Sus scrofa: one gene and its partners. The protein of the gene in region 3 purifies or fractionates together with the protein of the main gene of each other region. This does not show direct contact. Links are inferred from orthologs where the notes say so. Each region holds a gene or a part of one and is shown on either strand. Other genes may lie near its edges.

Region 1 (3,858 bases), on a different chromosome or scaffold from region 3:
TCCTGAGTGAGGAGCTGCTATTCTGTAGAATCCTAAGTAGCTCTTCCCTGGGCCTCTGCAAAGCCTGACAGGCCCCGTCATGATTATAAATGGACATAGCACTTTGTAGCCTGTAGCTGGGCCCTAAGATCCTGTTTCTGGCCTAGAATTTGTGTGATATAAGGCACCACATGGAGAAGGTGGGGTTGAGGTGAGGGCTTAGGGGCAGGGAACTGAAGGCGAGTGATATTCAGAAAAGTGGCACAGGAATTCCTACTGTGGCGCAATGGGATCTGCGGCATCTATGGAGCACTGGCTTTGATTCCTAGCCAGGCATGTGGGTTAAGGATCTGGCATTGCTATAGCTATGGCTTAGGTTGTGACTGTGGCTCGGATCTGATCCCTGGCCTAGGAACTCCATATGCTGCAGGGCGGCCAATAAAGAAAAAGAAGTGGCACAGAAAGCACTTCTCTTCCGCTTGTCTTTTTGGTGCTGAAAGGTGTCTTCACACCCACAGGGACCCGGAGAGACCAAAGCTGCGGAGTTCATGGACTCTGAGGAGGGGGAGGGGAAGGCAGCAGGGAACAAGTTGCTGCTCTGACCTGGCTCCTCCATTTACTTCTGAGGCCAGGCTGTGAACCCAAGACCGCAGGGACCATGTGACTGCCTTTCCTTCTAGCCCCGCCTAGCTAATGTCTGTTGAATGAGTGACTCTCTCTGATGTGGAAGATGAATGCCAGCCTGGCCCCAATCTCCCCCAATCTCGAATCAGAGCACAGAGAAAATGTGATGCTCCAAAGAAATTGTGATATCCGGAGTTCCCGTCATGGCTCAGTAGAAACGAATCCGACTAGGAACCATGAGGTTGTGGGTTCAATCCCTGGTCTCGCTCAGGCGGTTATGGATCCAGCATTGCCTTGACCTGTGGTGTAGGTCGAAGACGCAGCTCGGATCTGGCATTGCTGTGGTGTAGGCCGGTGGCTACAGCTCTGATTCGACCCCTAGCTTGGGAACCTCCATATGCCATGGATGCAGGCCCTAAAAAGATGAAAAAAAAAAAAAAAAGAAACCGTGACATCCGAGGAGAGCTTAAGGAGTAAGGGAAAGGACTCTCCCACCCACTGGTGGCTGAGTGGGGCCTGAGGAAAAGGCAGGCTCAGTTTTCACCTTTGCTCACCTTCGATTTCTGAAATCTTCTTCTCCGTCTCCTTCTCCATCACCTTCTGCCCGTAGGTGATTTCTGCAACCTGAGCCACTTTCTCTGCCTCTGTGTTAATCAAGTTGAGGAAAGGCTTAGAGCGCTGACACTTCAAAAAAGTTTGACTCCAAGCACCTTTCACTTGACCCAAGGGTCTGCTGCAGGGCATGGGTGAGCTCTAGAGAAGAGCCACTGGCTTGGGGGAGAGCCATGGCAGGCCGCAGGGGCAGGGATGGAACGGGGTGTCAGCGCCAGGCAATGCCCAGGGGACCTGGGCCAAAGGGAAGAGTCCTTCCTTTGACAAGGAGCAAACCCTTTAAGTCACAGGGTATTTCTTCCAAAGGAATTTTTTAAGCACTAAGGCACTCTCTAAAAAGTTTCCTCCGGCTGCTGCACTTTAGGAGGTAGCTAGGGTTGTGGCCAATAGTCTAGTGCAGTGGTGCAGAACCCAGGTTCGGGAACAGAGTCGCTGGATTTGAACCCCATTTCCACCACTTCTTCACCTTGTGACCTTGGGCGGTGATTTAACCTCTCCGGCTTTAGCTCCATGAAATGAGATTAATGAGGGTGCCTTCCTCATGTGGGGGTTTTGAGGGGTGAGGTGATTCACACACAAGGCTGCTCATAGGAAAGGCTGGGTGAGCGCTGTTATTATGGGGAATTCTGAATGAACAGGAAGGGTTCCTATATGGAAACTCAAAACTTTTGACCCCTGGCCATGATCTGGCAGTTTCAGCTATGCTTCCGGGGTGATAAGTGCCACCCCTGCATGTGGTGGGGCTTTGGAGGACCCCGCTCCAGGCTTCCCTGAATGTCCCCACCCTCCCCAGCCCCTCTGCGCTGAAAGGGGGTCCCAGAAGCACATTCAGACCAATGAGGGCCTTCTTCCGCTCTGTCTCGGCCTCCTTCTCCACCACCTTCTGCTTCTGGGCTGCAATGAGAAGCTTTGTCTTCTCACTTTCCCTGGAGGGGAGAAAAGTGTGCATTGGGAGGCCACTGGAGATGAGCTTCCACAGAAATTCCACTGTCCGGGGAGAAGCCAAACTCTCCCACCGAGGGAGGCAAGCTGTGATTTCCTCCTCTCTGCTGGGAGGCTTTTTTGTTTTTTTAAAATTTTTAATTTTTTGGCCATGCCTGCAGCATGTGGAAGTTCCCCATCCAAGGATAGAACCCATGCCACAGCAGTAGCCAGAGCCACAGCAGTGACAATGCCAGATCCTTAACCCACTGAGCCACTAGGGAACTCCTGAAAGGCCGTTTAACGTTTCAGGTAAAAGGAGGTCTGCTGCAGACAGTCACAGGTCTCTGCGCCGCCTCCAAAACTCATGCAGGAAATAAAGCATAATTTACTATAGTAAAGGGTACCCGCCTGCCCACTCAATTGCCCTCCCCTGTCTGGCATGAGCCGTGAAGCTCGAATTAGGCTCCCTGGCCCTTTTAAGAGCGTTGCTGCTCTGCGGCTCTCAGTCACAGTCATGGAGCCCAGGGGAGCGTCCCGCCACGCCTGCTCCGTCTCACAGGGCAACTGGCTGTAACAAACACTCAAGACGGGACCACACGCCTGGCACACCGGTTGCCCCTGGAGTGCAGCGGGGGTGCAGGGCATACTCACATCAGCTCATAGTTCCTGCGGATGGCCTCGGGTATGTTGGGCTTTGTCACACGCACAGCCTGGAGAAGGACAGAAATAGCACCTGATGGGAAATGAGGGTGCTGGGGACCTGCTCCTACGGGTCCTGATCATCCAGCACCCGCTGCAAGGCATCCTCTGCAAAAGGGGCAGGCTGTGCCTTCCTGCGGTGGGGGTGCACCTTCCTGAGGGGGAGGGGTGCTCCCATCAGGGCGACGCTTACTTGGATGACAAGCCCAGGGGCCATGGAGGTCAGATCCTGCTGCAAAGCCAGTTTGAGATTTTCATCAATCTGATCTGGAATCAAGACACACAAAAAAGCAGCTGTTACGCTTTCTGGCCTTGGGGGCAGAGTGCAAGTCAAGACACCAGCCCAAGAACACACCTGGCAGACAAAAGGTCTTCCTCCCAAGGCTGTGTGCTCATCAGTGCCCAGACCCCCAAAGACCACCCAGCCCACCCCTTGGGACTCTTGGGGCGGAAAGCCCACGCCGTCCTGCTACATGAGCAGATGTGAATGTCCTTTCCCTGGGGCCTCAGGAAAATATCAACCTTGCCCAAGAGGGAATTGAGCTTTAAAAAGAAGAACAAACATAATAACCTATATGGGAAAAGAATCTTGAAAAAGAACGGATATGTGTATATGTATAACTGATTCACTCTGCTGTACTCCTGAAACTAATACAACATTGTAAGTCAACTCTACTCCAATAAAATTAAACAAAACAAAACAAACAACAATTAGTGCCTTTCTTGAGTCAGGCAGCAGCCTTTTCCTAGAAAGGGCAGCAAAAGAGAAGGTGGGTGCCACCTTTCACAAAGAAAGGTGGAAAGGCCAAGTAGGTATTTTGAAAAGAGCCAAGCACATTAAATCTAGCAGTTTTAGAAGTTTCTAAAGGAAAAACAGACTCTGACGTTAAGGAAAGCCCCAAAGAAGACTAATTCCACTAGGAACTCAATCAAATAGCACCAGACAATTTATAGTTCTGGAAACGAGCCCAAGGCTTTTGATCTGTTGTTTGCTTTGGTTCCGATCCCTCTGTCTGAAAT
Region 2 (2,426 bases), on a different chromosome or scaffold from region 3:
CGGCCTCCAGCCCGCTCCCGAACCAAGCCTGGGGAGCAGGTTGAAGGTGAAGGGAGGAAGGCCGCGGGCCCCGCTCCCTTCTGAGAGGCAGCTGCAGCTCAGGCCCCCAAATACCCTTTTCCCCTCTGGCCTCTCCCTTTCCCCCTTCTGGTTGGAGGAGGGAGAAGTGGGAAGTAGTTTGGGAACTGGTTTGTCCACATCCACTTCCCCATTGTTCCTTGGCCCGCCCTCAGGGCAGAGCCCCCTGCCCAGGCTGGGTAAGAGATGGGCTTGGTCCAGCAGGGACCCTGAGGGAGCAAACCCCCTTCCTTCCGGGGAGCGCGTGCCCCCCCCTACCATGTAGTTGAACAGGGGCTAGGAGCTCCCCACTCCCTTCCTTCTAACAGCAGGCTGTGTGGGTTTCAATTCCCACCCTTCCCACCCCGGCTAGGTGTCGTCCACCTTGTATCCTATCATGTGTCTGAGTGTGTGTGGGGGGGTTCTGTACTAATTTCCATGGCCGGTGGCTTTTCCTTCCATGCATCACTCCCCCCCGCATGCCCAGGGGCCACCCGCCTGGCATTACCGCATGCTGGGGTCATTGGGGGAGGGGGGTGGGGCTCACGCTGTCCTGTGGTCTTGAAATTTTTATTTTTGCATATGTAATCCATCCTGTACAGGTAGCTAACTTTGTAAACGCTGTGTATTCCCCCTGCCCCCATGGCTGCTGGTGTAAATAAACTGCATCTCCTGTTGGTAGCCTGGCCTACCCACCCTCATTCCCACGTCACTGGGGCAGAGCAAAGCCATTCTCTCAATGTCACAGGAGACTCCACAGCCACAAAATGGAACTTTATTCAGTCACAGATACTGACCATCCAAGAGCCCCAGAGACAAGGGCCTGGGGCCCAGTGCTCCGTACCCGGAGCTCGTCCTTGGAGCTGGGCAGGGTAGGACGCTGGCTGAGGGCCAGAGCTGCCTCTTGCTTACAGCCTTAGGCCTAGGGGAGCAGCAGCTGTGGCCCGGCCTCTCCCAGTGCCGGGGGCTTGGCTTTGTGCCCCAATCCCCTTCCTGACTGAGCTCTATAAAGGACTATTAAAAAAAAAAAAATAAGCAAAGTGCTGTGAAAAAAAGGGAGAACACTGGCAACTGTCCAGAACACAGAACACCCTATTCCGGCTACGGGCTGGAGGGAGAAGGCAGGGGCGGCCAGGTGCCCAGAGGGAAAGCTGACACACACTTCGCTCCTGTGTGTCAAGATGGATATGCCGCTAAGGAACCGAAAGAGCCTCGGGGCTCCCTACACAAGTATGCTGGGGCCATGCTGAGCTGCCCTGGCAGGCAGCCCGGGGTGCTGAGGAGCAGACATGCAGGATAACGGGAAGAGCCAGGGCCGCAGCTGGGAGGGAGTCCTCAGAGCCCAGGCTCCCCACTGAGCAGGGCCACCGGCTCGGCTCTGAACTCCAGGACCTTGAAAGTGAAGGAAGATGACATTCTCATTTCTACCTGAGTTGTGCTTGCACAGAGGGGACGTCCGTACCCTCGTGGACGTGAAGGGGAGGCCCCCACACCTGCCTCTCGTGTCCTGTGGACGAAGACCCACCGCATCCTTCCCACCCTTCCCTCCCAGGCCCTTGGGCCCAGCCCTGGCCAGGAAAGGGGGGAGGCCATAAAGGAGGAAGACCAGGCCTTGCGTCTTCTCCCCACGGTCCTTATCGTCCGTACATCCCAAATACTAGGAAGCTGAAGAAGACAGTGACCCCCACCAGGGAGACAGTGGCAGGTGCTGTGAAGAACTGGCGGTAATTGATGCGGAAGTACCAGACCACACCCAGCAGCACCACGAACACAGGCACCATGAGGCTGCCCACACTGACGCCCAGGCCCGGTGGCTCAGTGGCCGAGGAGGGGGCCAGGGCGGCGGCGGGGCCTGGAGCAGCTGACCCCGGGGGCGAGCGGTGGCAGTGAATCACACAGTTGTCCGTGATGTTCAGGGAACGCAGCGTGCGGCCCGGGTCCTGCAGCAGGCGGCCCTGGTAGATGAGCTTCATCTGGCTCTCTTGTCCAGGGAAGTATTTACTGCAAGGACGAGAGAGGCAGAAGGAGAGACAGGGCGAGCAATGAGACAAGACCGAAAAGCCCGGACCAGCGAAGCAGGGTGAGGGGGTTTCTAAGCACGGGTTTCTAAGAAAGTGCGGGGCAGGACCTGATGCATCCCTGCTGTCCCCACTCTATCCTGGCCTCCTCCGAGGCGACCAAGGGCTGGGGGCTTGGGGTTTGAGCAGCCTCCCACTTCCCAGCCCACTTACCTCTTCAGAGCACCCACAGTATCCTCTGGCCTGGCCACAGCCAGCTCCTCGGTGTCATTGAGGAATTTGAGCCGCACATTGATGAGGCTGGGGCCGGAAGGGAGGCAGCTGCTCTCCTCGGATCGCAGGGGCGCCTCT
Region 3 (4,310 bases):
AGGTTGGAATTTGAAAGTGTGCTTTAATCACCAAAAAAAGAAAAAAAAAAAAGGTGTTTCACATCAATTAAGTCTGGCAACACTAGATTCAACAAGGTTAGACATACCTCTTTATTGCAGGACTCTCAGTACCTTTGACACAATACTATACACGGAGAAGCTCCAAGAAGGGATAATGACATGTAATTTTTTCCAAACTTATTTTTACCACAAAACACTTTTTTCAGAGGTATCTCCTCTTGACTAGAGGCTGAAGAATACGCTATGGAAATGCTGATATAGGTAATTTTTTAAAAGGAAATTTTCATATTGAGAAGTTTTAAAGATACCACTAAATTAAAATCATTTTACTCAACACCTGGATAATATCTCAATAAGTGTTTTACAACTTTTTAAAAAAGTAGGGAACACAAAACAAGAAAGGAAGATAAACACAGGCAGGAAGTCTTGGCTCAAACCCAGACTTTTTTTGTCAAGGGTATGTCAACAGGATTGGGTCATAGCATGGAACCTCTGCTCCATAGGGCAATGTAAGCATTCTAACAGGTTGTTAAAAAGTGATCTGCTTGGAGTTTTGTAAACCATAAAATAAGGAGCTTCGATGTTTTGTTTTTTTCTTTTTATAGCGACACCTTGGGCATATGGAAGTTCCCTGGCTAGTGGTTAAATTGGAGCCGCAGCTGCTGGCCTACGCCACAGCTACAGCGACAGTGTCCAAGCCACATCTGTGACCTATGTATGCCACAGCTGTGGCAACACTAGATCCTTAACCCACTGAGCCAGGCCAGAGTTCGAACCCACATCCTCAGAGACAATGTTGGGTCCTGAACCTGCTGAGCCACAAGAGGAACTCCAGAAACTTTGATGTTTAATTAGAAAACTAATTAGAGAAACGCTAGAAGCATTATCTGCAGATTACATGTAAGAATGAACTAGTAAGTAAAGTCCATCAGAGGACTGGTTTTAAACGTGGATGAAGTTAGCTAATAGATTGCATAAATTCTCTGGGTAGACACATCTGTACAACATGCTGCTGGAGAGAGGATTAAAGGGGGATTTATGTCCTGGGGCTGGGCGGGAGAAGCTGGCTTCAACATCCTCAAGAGGTCTTTCTGACCCAGACTCTTCAATTCTGTGAATCCAAAGAATTCACTGACTTCTCCTCATCAAACACAAAGTCTTCAGATGCATTTCCAAGTTGTTCTAAAAAGTAAGCTACAAACTGATGGGGTGGGGACCCTGTCTAGTTATTCAATATACACTTAAGGAGCCCTTATCAGATGGGCCATTCCAAAGTCCTTGAAAAGGAGGATGGTACACAGGACAACCAGGAAAAGATTATGTACGTTCGGACCCAGTTGCCTCACTTCTAGAAGATGTAGGCTGGGGGGATGGAGATGTCAAGAAAAGAGGACAGAAAAAAAGAAGTCAATCAACACTAGACTCAAAATAACTACTTAGAACCAAACATGTTCATGTTGAAAAGGACGTCCATCTAATACTTAATAGCTCCTTCTATGGGGAGTTCACTACCTTTAGAGGCAATCCATTCTTACACTGTTCACCTCTGACAAGCATGTAGTTATTTCATTAAATCATTTTCCTGTAGGATCCACCTATTTGTCCTCGTTTCTGCCTCTTTTAACATCAAAGATGAGGTAGAAGCTCTCTTCACCATTATAATGTCTGGTCCATTCCACTGCTGTCTTTTCTGGTCTGTTTCCCTCCTCCTTCCCCCCCCCCCCAAGATCCTGAACAAGTTCCAGCTGCCTCAGAGCAAAGACTAGATATCTAGTACTCACAGAAGGAAAGCACTTAAGATCAGTGGGCTTCACAAAGATTTTGAAACCAAATTTATGTTAACAAAGGGGAAACATGGGGAGAGGAGGGATGAATTAGGGGGCTGGGATTGATACATACACACTCCTATATATAAAATAGATGGGTAACACGACCTACTGCACAGCACAGGAAAATTTACTCAATATTGTGTAATGACCTATATGGGAAAAGAATCTGAAAAGGAATGGGTATATGTATAACGATTTACTGTGCTGTATGCCTGAAATTAGCACAACTGTGTAAGTCAACTATATCCTAGTTAAAAAAGAAAAAAAAATCAGTGGGCTTCAAACATCAGTATGCACAGGTCCCCCAAAGCAAACATTCAAACTATAGTTTCCCCAGTTCGGACCCAAATTCTAAATAAGAGGTCTCAAGAGTCCTGCATTGTAGAGTATGCACTCCAGAGGCTGTGGGAACCATATTTAGAGAAACAGGGCCCTGTTTTAGAAAAGAAACTGAGACCTGGCACAGGTAAAGACCCAGTCACACAAATGTATGTCAGTGGTGAAGCCTCAAACCTGGGTCTCTTTCTCCCAAGCCCAACTCTATTCATCCCGCTTACCGGCCTCGGCCTCTCCACTGGGGACAAACTCATTAAAAGCACCTTTACAAGAAAGAGGCGGCCTCGAATGGGAGTCAGAGAGTTAGAGAGAGTCCCTGAGTTCTCGAAGTTAGGAGAGCTTCTGGCAGCCTTTCCTCTTCTTGGAGCCTTAGATTCCCCAAATTGTAATCACTGGACGAAAGACCACAACACAAGCCTGACCTTCCCCTGGGGCGGAGGGCCCGGAACAGAGCCAGCTTGTTGCCTCTGCGTTCCTGGGCTCAGGTGTTGCCGCCCATGGGCCTGGTGAAGGCGGAACCCGGTCCCTCGCCCGCGTCCCTCAACCTGGACGGCCCCTAGCTGCCAACCCAGCCTCTCAAGTACCTGCCTCTGCTCAGCTAACACCGCCGAGGCCACTCCAGTTTGTCCTTCCGTCGGCCGCCCAGCCAGTCTCTCCGCTGGGATAGTCCGTCCCGCCGGACCTCGGGTCCCTCCTACGCGGACTCTGGTCAGCTGACGCAGAGCCGCAGCTTTCCAAGGGACTTCCGTCCACAACCGGAAAAGGTTGGTCCGCTGCGCTGTTCTCCCGCCCAGATCCTGGACTCTAAGGTTCCGCCTGCCGGCAGGAAGCAGAAAAGCGTAGGGGTCACTTGCCAGCTTTTCAGAAAGCCTAGGTCTGTGTAGGGAAAGTACAGACAAGTTTCAAACAGTTTTGTTGCACCAGAATGTAAGGATGATGAGAATACGTCAGAGGATACAGGAGCTAACTTGAAAGAGATCCCATGGCCAAATCGTCGCAATTTGAGAATCAAAATACTTGATAGTAACAGATTTAACTAATTGAATAAAATGGTAACCCATGAGTCTTTACTGGTATAAAAGTGATTGAATAAATGGGGGAGAAGGGGAAATTATGCCTTTTAGTAGAAGCAAAATAACAAATATGATGGAGTTAGAAAATCAATAATGGATGGTAAAACTAGAGGAAGAGAATATTTACACAGCAAAATGTCTCCTATAAATTCCTTTTTGATTACAAAGGGAAAATAGTAGTTTTACATATAATCTCACAGAACAGTAAGTTAATATCACCAGTTGTAGATCAAGTAAAGAGCATGTGCCTCTTAGTAAGATGCACTGAGAAAGAGACAGCATCTCTCCTGTGGTATTTTAGACAAAAATGCATAACTCAGAATTCCCTTGTGGTACAGCAGGTTAAGGATCCAGTATTGTCACTGCAGCAGCTTGGGTCGATTCTCTGACTCAGGTTCCATCTTGGTCCAGGAACTTCCACAAGTTGTAGGGTGCAGCCAAAAAAAATGAGTAACCCATGTTTTGTTTCATGAGGAAGCATGACATAGTCCAGATGGAGAACAGTATACAAAATAATTGTCAGCATCATGAAAAAAACAGAGAAAGACTGAGGAACTGTTCTGGTTTAAAGGAGATTAAAGAGGCATGACAACAAAATGAGATATATGATTGTAAATTGGATCCTGGACTAGCATAAGGAGAGGCAGAATAGGTTTAATGGACAATATTGGGACAAAAGACAAAATTGGAATTTGGATCATGGTTTAGCTGTGACTACATATTGTATCAATGTTAAAATTTCTACATTTGATCATTGTATTGTGGTTATGGTAAGAGTACTTCCTTGTTCTTAGGAAATATTCACTGAAGTATTTAGGGGTAACACAATGTCTCTAGGGAGTTCCTGCTGTGGCACAATGGGATCGGCAGCATCTTGGGAGCCCTGAGACGCAGGTTCAATTCCCGGCCCAGTACAGTGGGTTAAGGATCTGGTGTTGCTACGGCTGCAGCGTAAGTCACAGCTGTGGCTCAGGTTCAATCCCTGGCCATAAACTTTTTAAATAAAAATTACCAAAAAAACAGACACAATATCTCTAACTTAATTTCTTTT

Evidence for each region. The genes of interacting proteins can lie anywhere in the genome.
Region 1: the proteins of RNF185 (region 3) and ERLIN2 purify together in Homo sapiens (affinity purification with mass spectrometry; 5 studies listed by BioGRID and IntAct, with this or other methods). This does not show direct contact. The link is inferred for Sus scrofa from reciprocal best matches to the Homo sapiens genes RNF185 and ERLIN2.
Region 2: the proteins of RNF185 (region 3) and TMUB2 purify together in Homo sapiens (affinity purification with western blotting; 3 studies listed by BioGRID and IntAct, with this or other methods). This does not show direct contact. The link is inferred for Sus scrofa from reciprocal best matches to the Homo sapiens genes RNF185 and TMUB2.

Annotation. Positions count from the first base shown.
Region 1 is NC_010457.5:48,648,928-48,652,785, forward strand, and holds part of ERLIN2 (erlin-2), read right to left. Parts: intron 3,106-3,858; coding exon 3,032-3,105; intron 2,850-3,031; coding exon 2,791-2,849; intron 2,142-2,790; coding exon 2,050-2,141; intron 1,248-2,049; coding exon 1,158-1,247; intron 1-1,157. UniProt on the Homo sapiens protein: Component of the ERLIN1/ERLIN2 complex which mediates the endoplasmic reticulum-associated degradation (ERAD) of inositol 1,4,5-trisphosphate receptors (IP3Rs) such as ITPR1.
Region 2 is NC_010454.4:19,019,048-19,021,473, forward strand, and holds the end of TMUB2 (transmembrane and ubiquitin-like domain-containing protein 2), read right to left. Parts: coding exon 2,289-2,426; intron 2,059-2,288; coding exon 1,692-2,058; 3' UTR 594-1,691; downstream 1-593.
Region 3 is NC_010456.5:47,945,008-47,949,317, reverse strand, and holds the start of RNF185 (E3 ubiquitin-protein ligase RNF185), read right to left. Parts: upstream 2,935-4,310; 5' UTR 2,771-2,934; intron 1-2,770. UniProt on the Homo sapiens protein: E3 ubiquitin-protein ligase that regulates selective mitochondrial autophagy by mediating 'Lys-63'-linked polyubiquitination of BNIP1.